Linked DNA regions of Drosophila melanogaster. The protein of the gene in region 1 interacts with the protein of each later gene in a biochemical or structural test. Each region holds a gene or a part of one and is shown on either strand. Other genes may lie near its edges. The genes, in order: dpr2 and DIP-eta.

Region 1 (4,943 bases):
CCGCTGGCGTTAGCGATTTAGCCGCCAGCAGCTATGAAAAGGCTGCAGCGCTCATCAAGGAAAAGGTGCTTGTGTAAGTATGCCTGCCTGCCTGGCCTTTGTTGTCTTTGAGAATGCATCCCTTATGATTGTGATCTTTGTTTAGTGGCCGTCTCTCGCCCGAGAACATCAATCAGGCGCTGAACCAGACGCGTAACGCCGCCCTGGAGTACTACAACCAGTTTCACAAAAAGGTCGACGCATACGCCAAGCTCAAATGATTTTAAGCGTCAGGAACGCTTACTTCTCGAACAGCAACATCATCAGCAGCTGCAGCAGATGCAAACAGAATACGCGTCATAGTAAATAGTGAAGGAAGCCCTAATTTTTCGCAAAAAGTTAAAAAACCGGAAAATGTTCTATAAGTCGAAACTCAAGAAGTCATTCACATTTATCAACAACTTCTCGTCAAGTTTAATTAAGAAAAAGCAATACGAGCAAATCTTTGTGGATGCCGATAGTACACTAACAATCTAGTAAATTCAACCTCGATACTGATAAATTAGTGAAAGACACGAGAAATTTTCTGTTGTAAAACATGTGTTTAAACATTTTTCTCCAAGTTGAGAAAACATTATTTTTAAATTCGTTTACAACGGCATGAGAGTTTTGTGAAAAGTTCTACCATTGAAATTTTGTAATTGTAATTATTAAAGTGCGTTTTTTGTGGCGATGCGCGAAGTGTTAACTCTATTGTGTTAACTGAACTTAACAATTCCAACTGCATTTTGAAGGCAAACAATAGATTCAAATATTTTTATACTTTTATTCATAGTTTTCTTGCATTTGTGTGTACATTTCTGTAGACTCCTCCCCAATACTTGCATAATAGCGCGATACTTTTGATTTGATTTTAAATCTCATTTGTATATTTAATGGAAAACACGATTTTGCATAAATAAAATAAAATTGAAAGATGTGAAGTAAAGGCGTATTTCTCAATGTTTTTCTGTGCTTGATTATGTTTTTGGGGGCATATTGATGAATCGTAAGATTCTGAACACACCTGTTGGCATTGGCAGCATGGCTTGCACTACACACTTGTTTAAATTGGAAAAGCGGCTTGAAAGCAGTTTTTATTTCCCAAAAGAGACTAGAATTTAGATCAGTAATATTTCCTGGGCAATTTTTCTAGAACAGTTCTCTCGAAACTAAGCAGTTCAAATGTTTTGCAAGCAGTCCAAGAACTAAAATTTCCCTAGGTTTTTGTTACCCATATAAGCAGTGAAGAGAAATTCCTAAGCAGTGTATCATAATTCAAAGCAGTGCAAACAACAAAAAATTGTTGCGTATTTGAAAAATAACACCTTTAAAGTTGAAGAAGTTTTAATTATATTTCTAAAATATTTATAAGCTTTGGTATCTTCATGAAATGGCATGATTGGATAGAATCTTTTCCTAATTGGTACAACAAAGTAGGGTTCTCATTATAGTTGCTTAAATTCTCCCCGCAAAATTTCCCTTTTAGACGTTCATCTTGGAGACAGTCGCCCCTTCAAATACAAGGATTTTCCCGAATTCGCCGCAAAGTCACCCGTTTTCGGAGTGCGGGAGTGACAATAACAACCAACTCGTCGTCCTGTTCGTGGCTGGCAGGACTCGGTTCACATCGGAACGATTACTTGCAGCGCGGAGGAAACAACAATACGGAAAAGCTCCGGCCTCGGATGCCGCAGTATCAAATGAATTTCAAGTCGCGGCGCACGTGTTTCGTCCTTTGGCGCGGATGTGACTACGAGTCCTTATCGCAGATTGTGGTCCTGGCCACGAAAGGATATCTCGTAGTTGCCGCATTCGATAGCGGTGTCGCGGTTTCCCAACTTTCCCAACTGCCGCATCTGTTTTTTCAACTTGTGCGCGAGACGACACTAAGATCGTTCGGCTTCGATTTCGCTCAGTGTATAATGCTCTTGAGGCAAAAGTGAAGTTTCGAATTGGAGGCCGCTTTATGCGGCCAGTGAAAGATATTGTCCCCTGAATTAATTGTCTGTTAAAAACTAACATTGGATGTTTAAATGGTTAAATTCATGGGAAATATTCGCCCTGCTGCTGCTGACACCAAAATTGAGTCGAATAACAGCTTTAAGTACATTAATATTAACCCACCCACACTGCTCTTTCGCATTCAATGTGGCTCGATTTTCCCTCCTCGAAAAGTGGAGCACAGATAAATCAGAGAAAAACATTTATTTCTCATCGGAAATGAACTCGGACGGGCGACGTGATTTAATGCCAATCGAAAATGCATTTGTTACTCAGGTTTCTTGCAAATTATACGCTTAGCGATAGGATTGAAACACAGAAAACAAAACACATTTTTTACAGACTTCAACTGAAACTCCAGACAGTTGCATAAACAACAACCAAGAGTTTCGTGCAAAAATAAATGTTAAATCAAAGTTTTTCCAAGTTGAGATGGAAGTTTTTCCAAGTTCTTCTTCGCCTTATCTGCTTTTGAAGTTCACTCGCATTTTTCCTCTGAAATCCAGGGCAGAATGAAAAATCGGAAATATGTACCTAATGAGCACGTGTGTTACGGATTGACTTTGAAGTGAGTCCTCATTTCTAATGAGTTCTTGTGGTGATATGAAGTAGGAAAGGTAATTAATTCACTAAACCACAAAAAAGTTAATGAGGTGATGCGGAAAGGTCAAAGTTGTTCCGTCAATAAATAAACTTTCCACAGACAGTCAATAATTGGTGTAGTTTTGGACTTTTAAAACTTTTGCAAACATGTACACATCCATTTGTTAGCACTGGCTTTGATTTAAAGCATTTTTTGCACATATTATACTATATAATAAAGTATAATTACATTTAATATTTAAGCAAAAAGGCAAAAGGCCGACCTTGTTTTAGTAAAAACTCGTTAAGTACGACAGTAAAAAAAATTTTAAGGAAAACTTCTTGGACAATTTGCCAGCTGCCTTTAAAAGGACTCGACAAAGGCCAAGGACCTCGCAGGACTCTTTGCATGTGGCATTAATTAAGTGCCGCTTGAGGGAATAGTATTAGATGAGCTTGTCTCTCATTAATCTTATAACCTTATAAAGAATGGCTTGAATAGGGAATAGCAGTATATACATATGTCCGGGGACAGCCCCCAAAAAAAGAAGACATTGAAATCGAACCGTTTTCCTCGCTCTTTTGGCCGCCTTTCGTGTTTTTCTAATTGAATTTTCTTTCGAGCTTTATGCCTTGACTTTTCTCCTTAAAGATCAAGTGGTCTCCAGGTGCTTTTGTGGCTTTTTGGCCGGGTGTCCAGGTGATTAATGTGCAACCAGGTTTGCTTAATTAACTTGCATTTATGCCTGAAGTACACAACGGAAGACAAAAGCCAGTTGCTAAATTTGATAAGTGGGCTTAGTTGAATTTGAGTGACTCTGCCATAGAAGTACAATATATATCATTAATTAACAGCAGACTGTACTTGTGGCACTTAAAATGGACTAGCCTAAAATTATAAATGCATCATTATCGCGATGAAAGTTTGGCATTAAATTATCCAAAAAGTAACAATACATATCCAAAACCACTAAATTCAATTAACCAACGATGCCATGAAAATAACAATTGCAGTGCGCATTTTAAGCTGATTCCATGTTAATTTTACCACCATTGTTTGATTGGCATCGCAACAAACAACAACTCATTACACAACTCCAGCAACGGTTGAAATCATTTAAGTGCTGTGGTAATGATAACTGAAGGGTGGGTCGAAGGGCATGGAATCGATATTTATTGAATACAATATCTCTTGGATCGTTCGTGGAGCACGATTGTAACGTGAAACAAAGCGCAGTTTGTGGAGAAATTAACATTTTAATTGGTTTTTGACCCTTGCACATTTCGTGAGTGATCAAGGCTACACCTTTCAGTTGCACAATTTATGTGTTTTATGGCCAAATAAAAAACTATTTGAGTGCGGCTTGCGGGTTGTAAATATACAAATTGCGTTGGTTAAAACTGCTCCTGTGACATGGTGGCGATAAGCAACTTGCCACTACAGACAATATATGAGGGCTTAACAAATACAAACGTAAACATTCCGAAAATGTAAAAATAAATTAATGCCGTTGCAATTTGATACAGGATAAATGATGTGAATGAAGGACATTTATAATGAAGGCCTACGGTTAATATCAATGTTTGCTTCAGTTAAATGCTGTACGAACATGGAATTCGATGGACGAAATTGGTTTTTCACATACCCCAACTATAAACTTGGCTATATATGGCTTGAATCCTTTAGAATTTGCAAAAAAATATAACTATTTAATTATATTCTTGTCACAAAAAAAAAAAAAACACTTTTATAATTTTTCAATGATTTATGTTAAGTTAGGCAGCAGTGCAATGAATGGCTGCAATAATTCAAATTAATTCATTTCAAGTGCTTTTCATGAATATTTCACAAATAATAGCGTTAATGAAAATGTTTCCTCCCTCTCTTTATAGAATGCACTTCAAAAACGATTTAGGAACCAAACCATTAGCAGTAATGTAAACCAAAATACGTAAACTTGTGGGGCTAAATTACACTCATCTAACCGCCATTGAGGTGAATAAATATAAATAAGTAAGATCCGGCTCGCAGGACCATGGCTATGGAGGGAAAATGCTTCGGTTGCATCGCAACGCCAATCCTCGTAATAATGATAAGCATTTCGAGAGCTTGGACAATGCAACAACAACACTTGAGTCCTGCCATCCAACAACATCCTGCAGTCAAATCGTTGTGTAAGTAGATCTCACTCGCAATTCACACATGTTCAATTTAATAGTGCACATATAAAAGCATATTTCAATACCATCTCTAAGATATGAATTATGAATGTATGTGCTATAAATTAACAATGACCAACGGCCGTAGTTAAGTTTATTAAAATTTTACATATCATATA
Region 2 (5,046 bases), 5.3 Mb from region 1:
TAGTTCGGGGGCAATAATAGAAGGGTGCCTGCTGCCAGACGCAGATATCAATATGTTCGAAAGTCCGCCCTTATGATTGGGGAACCTTGATTAACTTTCCAGCTGACTCGGCCATGAGCCTGAACATGCAAACGATTTCGGGTTTTGGAAAAATAAAAGTCTACTTTCTGGCGGCCGCAAACTGACAGGAACCATTTTAAACTGACATTTCATTAAAATTCCTTGTCCCCTCCCTTCGAGTTCGTATTGATTTTTTCATAATTTAGCGGAATTGAAAGCAAAGTTGCCGGCATGTGTGCTATGTGTCCTTTGTCATACACACATACACACACACACCCATACACTCACACATTTAAATCCGCATTGCATGCCCAGAAAAGTAGACTACAAAAGACAACAGGCAAACGACAGCACTGCAAATGGTTACAGGGAGGGGGTGGCGGTTGGCCTGGAACGGCGGTAGGCACTAAAAATGTCTAGCAAATGGGCCTGGCAATATTATTAATAATTTAGAGCATGCGGGCCACGTCAGGAGTCGGACTCGGAGTCAGGGACAGGTGATGGCTTCAGGCTTCAGGCCCACGGCCTGACCACAATCCGAAGCCATATCGAGGCGATTGTGTCGAAAGTACCTTCCCGCTTCTGGTGGGCAGCTCTTGGATGTTTGGTGCCATTGGATATTGATGGCGATGTAGATCACTGATGTTTATTAATTATCACGAGTTAAAAGTTTTGCTTTTCTAAATTGGCACAACAGCCTACACTGACAAAATATCTTCATTCATTCAAGCATATATAATATATATTGTGTTTCACATTCTTCTGTAATTATATAAAATTGAAAATATTTTGTAATAAATAATGGAAAGTATTTAAACAAAGCGAAAATTCAATCGAGCAATGTGATGAATGCCTAAATTGACCACAAGCAATTTTCCAAGCAAATGTGTAATTTATTTCAATTTGGATGTTTCTAAATCCTTTTCCTGTACTTATTTTGTTACCAGCTTTAAGTACAACTTATGAAAAAGCAAAAAAAGAAAATATTTATGACAAATAATAAGAGGTGCTCATGGCACCTTTGTAGTGTTCAAGCCATATATTATTTTTATGGTTTCGGACATGCACGGTCCCTTTTTCTCCAACGCTTCAATGTGTATAATCAGCTGCTGAATTATGGCAAATTTTCAGTAACCCCCCCGACAGTTTGCTTGAAGCACCTTTTGCATTTTTCCCTTTAAAACAATAATGCTGACATGTAGAAGCTTCAACTGAAATGTCATTCGCTACTACTACCAGACTTCTCGAGCTATACTTTAAATTCAATTTCCAGCGCAAACATTAATTAACACGTGATAAATATCCCGCTCTATCGCGATGCCACTTCGACATTTTTCAGAATTATTCGCCGTCTAGCTTTTTAAATTTTTTTTAATCCGGCCCAGAAAAGGGCAGCCCAGTTAACCGGACCTTGCATAAAATTTGCATAACTCATAGTGTTCAGGCTGGCAGCGCCTTCTAGAAATCAGAGTTTCGCTCGGTTTTTCACAATTTTCTCCTCCGCTCGCTTTCCAGCACGGAAGTTGATTATTATCGCTTGTTATTAACAACAGCAACAACAATGGCAGGAAAAATCCAACTCCTCACATGCCGGCCATTATGTCAAGCCGACTGAACGACGAGGCCTTGCCAACCATTTCGTTATCGCTCCGGGGGCAATTGGAATTCTTCTTATGCAATTGATACCGGAGCAGGCGGGGGAATTCGGATTAAGGGGATTACGATTTCGCAGCAGAACAACAGGGTTTTCAATCTTGAGTCAACATGTTTTAATTTCCATAATATACATATATGTATACCACTCGGCCCCACCTGGAGCGTCAGTAGACAGTGCACATTCGGCTGTGGGCGCCAACTGAAATCACAATCGAGCAGATAACAACTGATCAGAAATTATATGTAAAATGCAAATGATAGAGAAACGCCATAAATCGAAAACAGGCACCATCATGCCACCCCGGGGGAAAACCACCGAATGTGGGTTGTACAGTGTACACTGTACACATATTATTTCCGGTTCGTCCCAAAAGCGCTGCAACATATTTGCAACAAATGGCTAGCCAGCTAGACAGCAAATTGGCATGAAGCGTCGAGGGTTTGTCCTGCGCTTTATGGATATCAATGAACTTTAAATTACACTCGGGCAGCCGTGAAACATAAAATATGCAATTGTTGCCCATGTGGCCTAAACAGTGCACTCCTGCCATACGGGGACACTCGTAATAAACAGCGTCGAGTGGCGCGCCAGACACATTCACATTTGTAGGCAAATTTCACGATACACACACACACACACACAGACACGCATGCAGCTGGAATGGCAAATCATGTGACGAGCATTGACCGCCGAGGGTGGCCCGATTGTTGTTGCTTCATAAATAACTCGGGCTTTGTTTTTACTTTAAATATAATTACAGCAAACACGCAGCTGACGGCAAATGTCGCCAAAATCGCGGCTAAATTGCCAACAAGCGGCTAAAAACGCGCGCGACTCAACACGCGAGCGAATTCTACTTGTTGTCGATTTGACCTGGCCGAAATCGCTGCCAAACTATTTTCGAATGCCTTCACTGGCCGCAATCACAGCCAGCGATTAGAAAAAGGATTCCTTGCTTTCTTTCAATAGTCTTGCATGCAGATTTTAATGGAAGTTCGCATTTAACTTAATAGCTGCAGCATAACAACCTTTTTCAGAGCATTTTCTTGGCAATCTTGTATTTTTCGTGAAACTCCAAATTGCACATGTCCTGCGGCTGAGCTGTCCTGATTTTTTTTTTTTTAAATCCTGTCGAGAAATTCGCTCAGCACAAGTCACTCATGGCGTCTACAGCATCACTTCGATTCACTTGCAGCACGAATGCAACACTTGGCGGCAAAAAACACACGCGATTCCGTTAGGGATTCTGCTTGCTTGTATGCAGCAGGATTCGAAGGACTAAAGGCCAACCGCACGAACCGAGCGCCGTCGATGTACTGAAGCCAGCATTTCCGAGGGCCACCAAAGTCGCGTGGAACGACTCCCAGCGACTGCCGAGCGATGCCGAAGATGCTCCTTTGGCGAATCGTCGTCGTTTTGGGGGGTTTTGGGGGGAGTGTGGGCGCCCCAGTGGGTGGGTGGTGTTTTTTAGTGGGCGCCCGGGGGGTGGGCAGCGGCCTCGCGAACGAATCAGACAACTGTGATTTTTGTTGTTGCTGGGCCACATTTTATTTTGCTTTTTGTTGGCGGGCGCTTTTCACTTCGTGGTGCTTCTTTTTTCCTAACATGCTCTGCGCGTGTGTGTGTGCGTGTGCTGCCCAATGGGGGGCGCGCTCTCGGCTCGGTTGAATACGAATTGAATGGCATTGAAAGCCTGGGAAATTCTCTCGCCATACTTTTGGGCGCGTGAAACTGGTGGCTCGCATTTATGAATGAAATCTGTGGCAAAGGAAAGGGTTAACCCTTTTTGGGTTGGGTGAAGGGATGGTGATGGTGAGAGGGGGTGCTGATAGTAAGTAACTGTGTGAGATGAAGAAATGAATTGTCATTGGTCGTGGCGCTTGAATATGAGAGAGGGAATTATCACTTGCAATTCTGACAACTGCAATAAGTACAACAGATTATTGCCATAGGAAAATACTATATATTTTGACTTGTAGGTAGAAGAAAATGGAATGGAAGCCATCTGCAAGATGATCTTTCGCTGTCTTCTATTTTGGATCTCTTTTACGGGATTCATTTAATATAAATCAATCATTATCAGAAAATTATGCTTTAAATTTAAGTATGTATTGATAAAAAACAATGTTTCAATGGTTCGCAAGAAATAGTTTCCATAAATTTAAAGACGTAACTAAGGCCAATCTTACATCTAACTGAAATCTGTTTGAAATTCTCAAACAAAAATTTTCTAACGATATAATTTGTAGTATATATGCAGAAACAAAGTTCTTTCCAACTAAGAATTGAAATAAAATTTTTAAAATTAAATTAGTGCTTTACTAGGCCGTCTTATTTATATAAAACGATATAACAAAGTCGTTCAGCATGAAATATTATTTAATAAAATTCGCCTGCATCGTTCCGAGTCAGTTTTGATTGTTATTAAATATATTAGTGCCCCCAATACTTTGAAATATGCAACTAAAAATTGACTGCGATCGATTCAAAAATGCTTCAAAGTCCGTTCGCTATGATACATTATTTAATTAAATTTCTTCTGCTTGGTGAAACTTTTCTTTGGAGATTTCCATTATGTGTGGCAAGTGCAACAAGCGAGGCAGGAAAGTCACCCACCCACACACGCACACCAGCCAGTCGCTTTTCAATAACCGTGCCACATTGTGTCAGGCACCGTTTTGACCTGGCCACCGCCCTCTGCAACTCTAAATTGCTCATATATACTTATATATATATATATATATTTCGGGAGCTAATCAACTCCCGCCCCCTTTCCCTATCGCGTCTTTATAACAGGCATATAATTTCGCACAACACACGCACACGACCAATAAATAATAGCGATGGAAACAGTAGAAACCCACCAATAACAGATTTTATGACGTATAAAAAGGATTTATAAAGCGTCCCTGGAAGGAACTATCTATCCCGCTCCATTTCTCCATCGAAAACTTTTCATTGCGTGCCAATGCACTGGAGCCACAAATCATTTTTACCAAAAGGGTTAGCTCTACACTCGAAGAAAGAAAGTTGATTATTTTAAATTAAAATCAAAGAGATTACATATTAGAATTATTCAAGAACAAATACACTTTAATGAAATATTACGTTATGTTCAACGATGGATTTATAAATTTGACTATTCAACTATTTGAACTATTTTCTCTCAGTATATAGGGACTGGGAGGACTAGCAACTTGTTTTCAAGTTTCTTGCTTTGTTTCCTTTGCCTTGCTTCCTGGCTGGTATCCTTTTACGAGCTTGCAAGCCCCTAATATAAATTTTGACACCTGATAATTGCTTTTCACTCGCTTCCGCGTTTTTCGCTG

What was found.
Region 2: the proteins of dpr2 (region 1) and DIP-eta form a complex in vitro, tested with the Drosophila melanogaster proteins (one study listed by BioGRID).

The regions. Positions count from the first base shown.
Region 1 is NT_033779.5:10,960,922-10,965,864, reverse strand, and holds the start of dpr2 (defective proboscis extension response 2), read left to right. Parts: upstream 1-1,711; 5' UTR 1,712-2,639; intron 2,640-4,497; 5' UTR 4,498-4,640; coding exon 4,641-4,779; intron 4,780-4,943. Other genes in the region: Tmem214 (transmembrane protein 214), read left to right, coding at 1-73, 146-260.
Region 2 is NT_033779.5:5,614,910-5,619,955, forward strand, and holds the start of DIP-eta (Dpr-interacting protein eta), read right to left. Parts: upstream 3,038-5,046; 5' UTR 2,746-3,037; intron 753-2,745; exon of another isoform or gene 321-752; intron 1-320.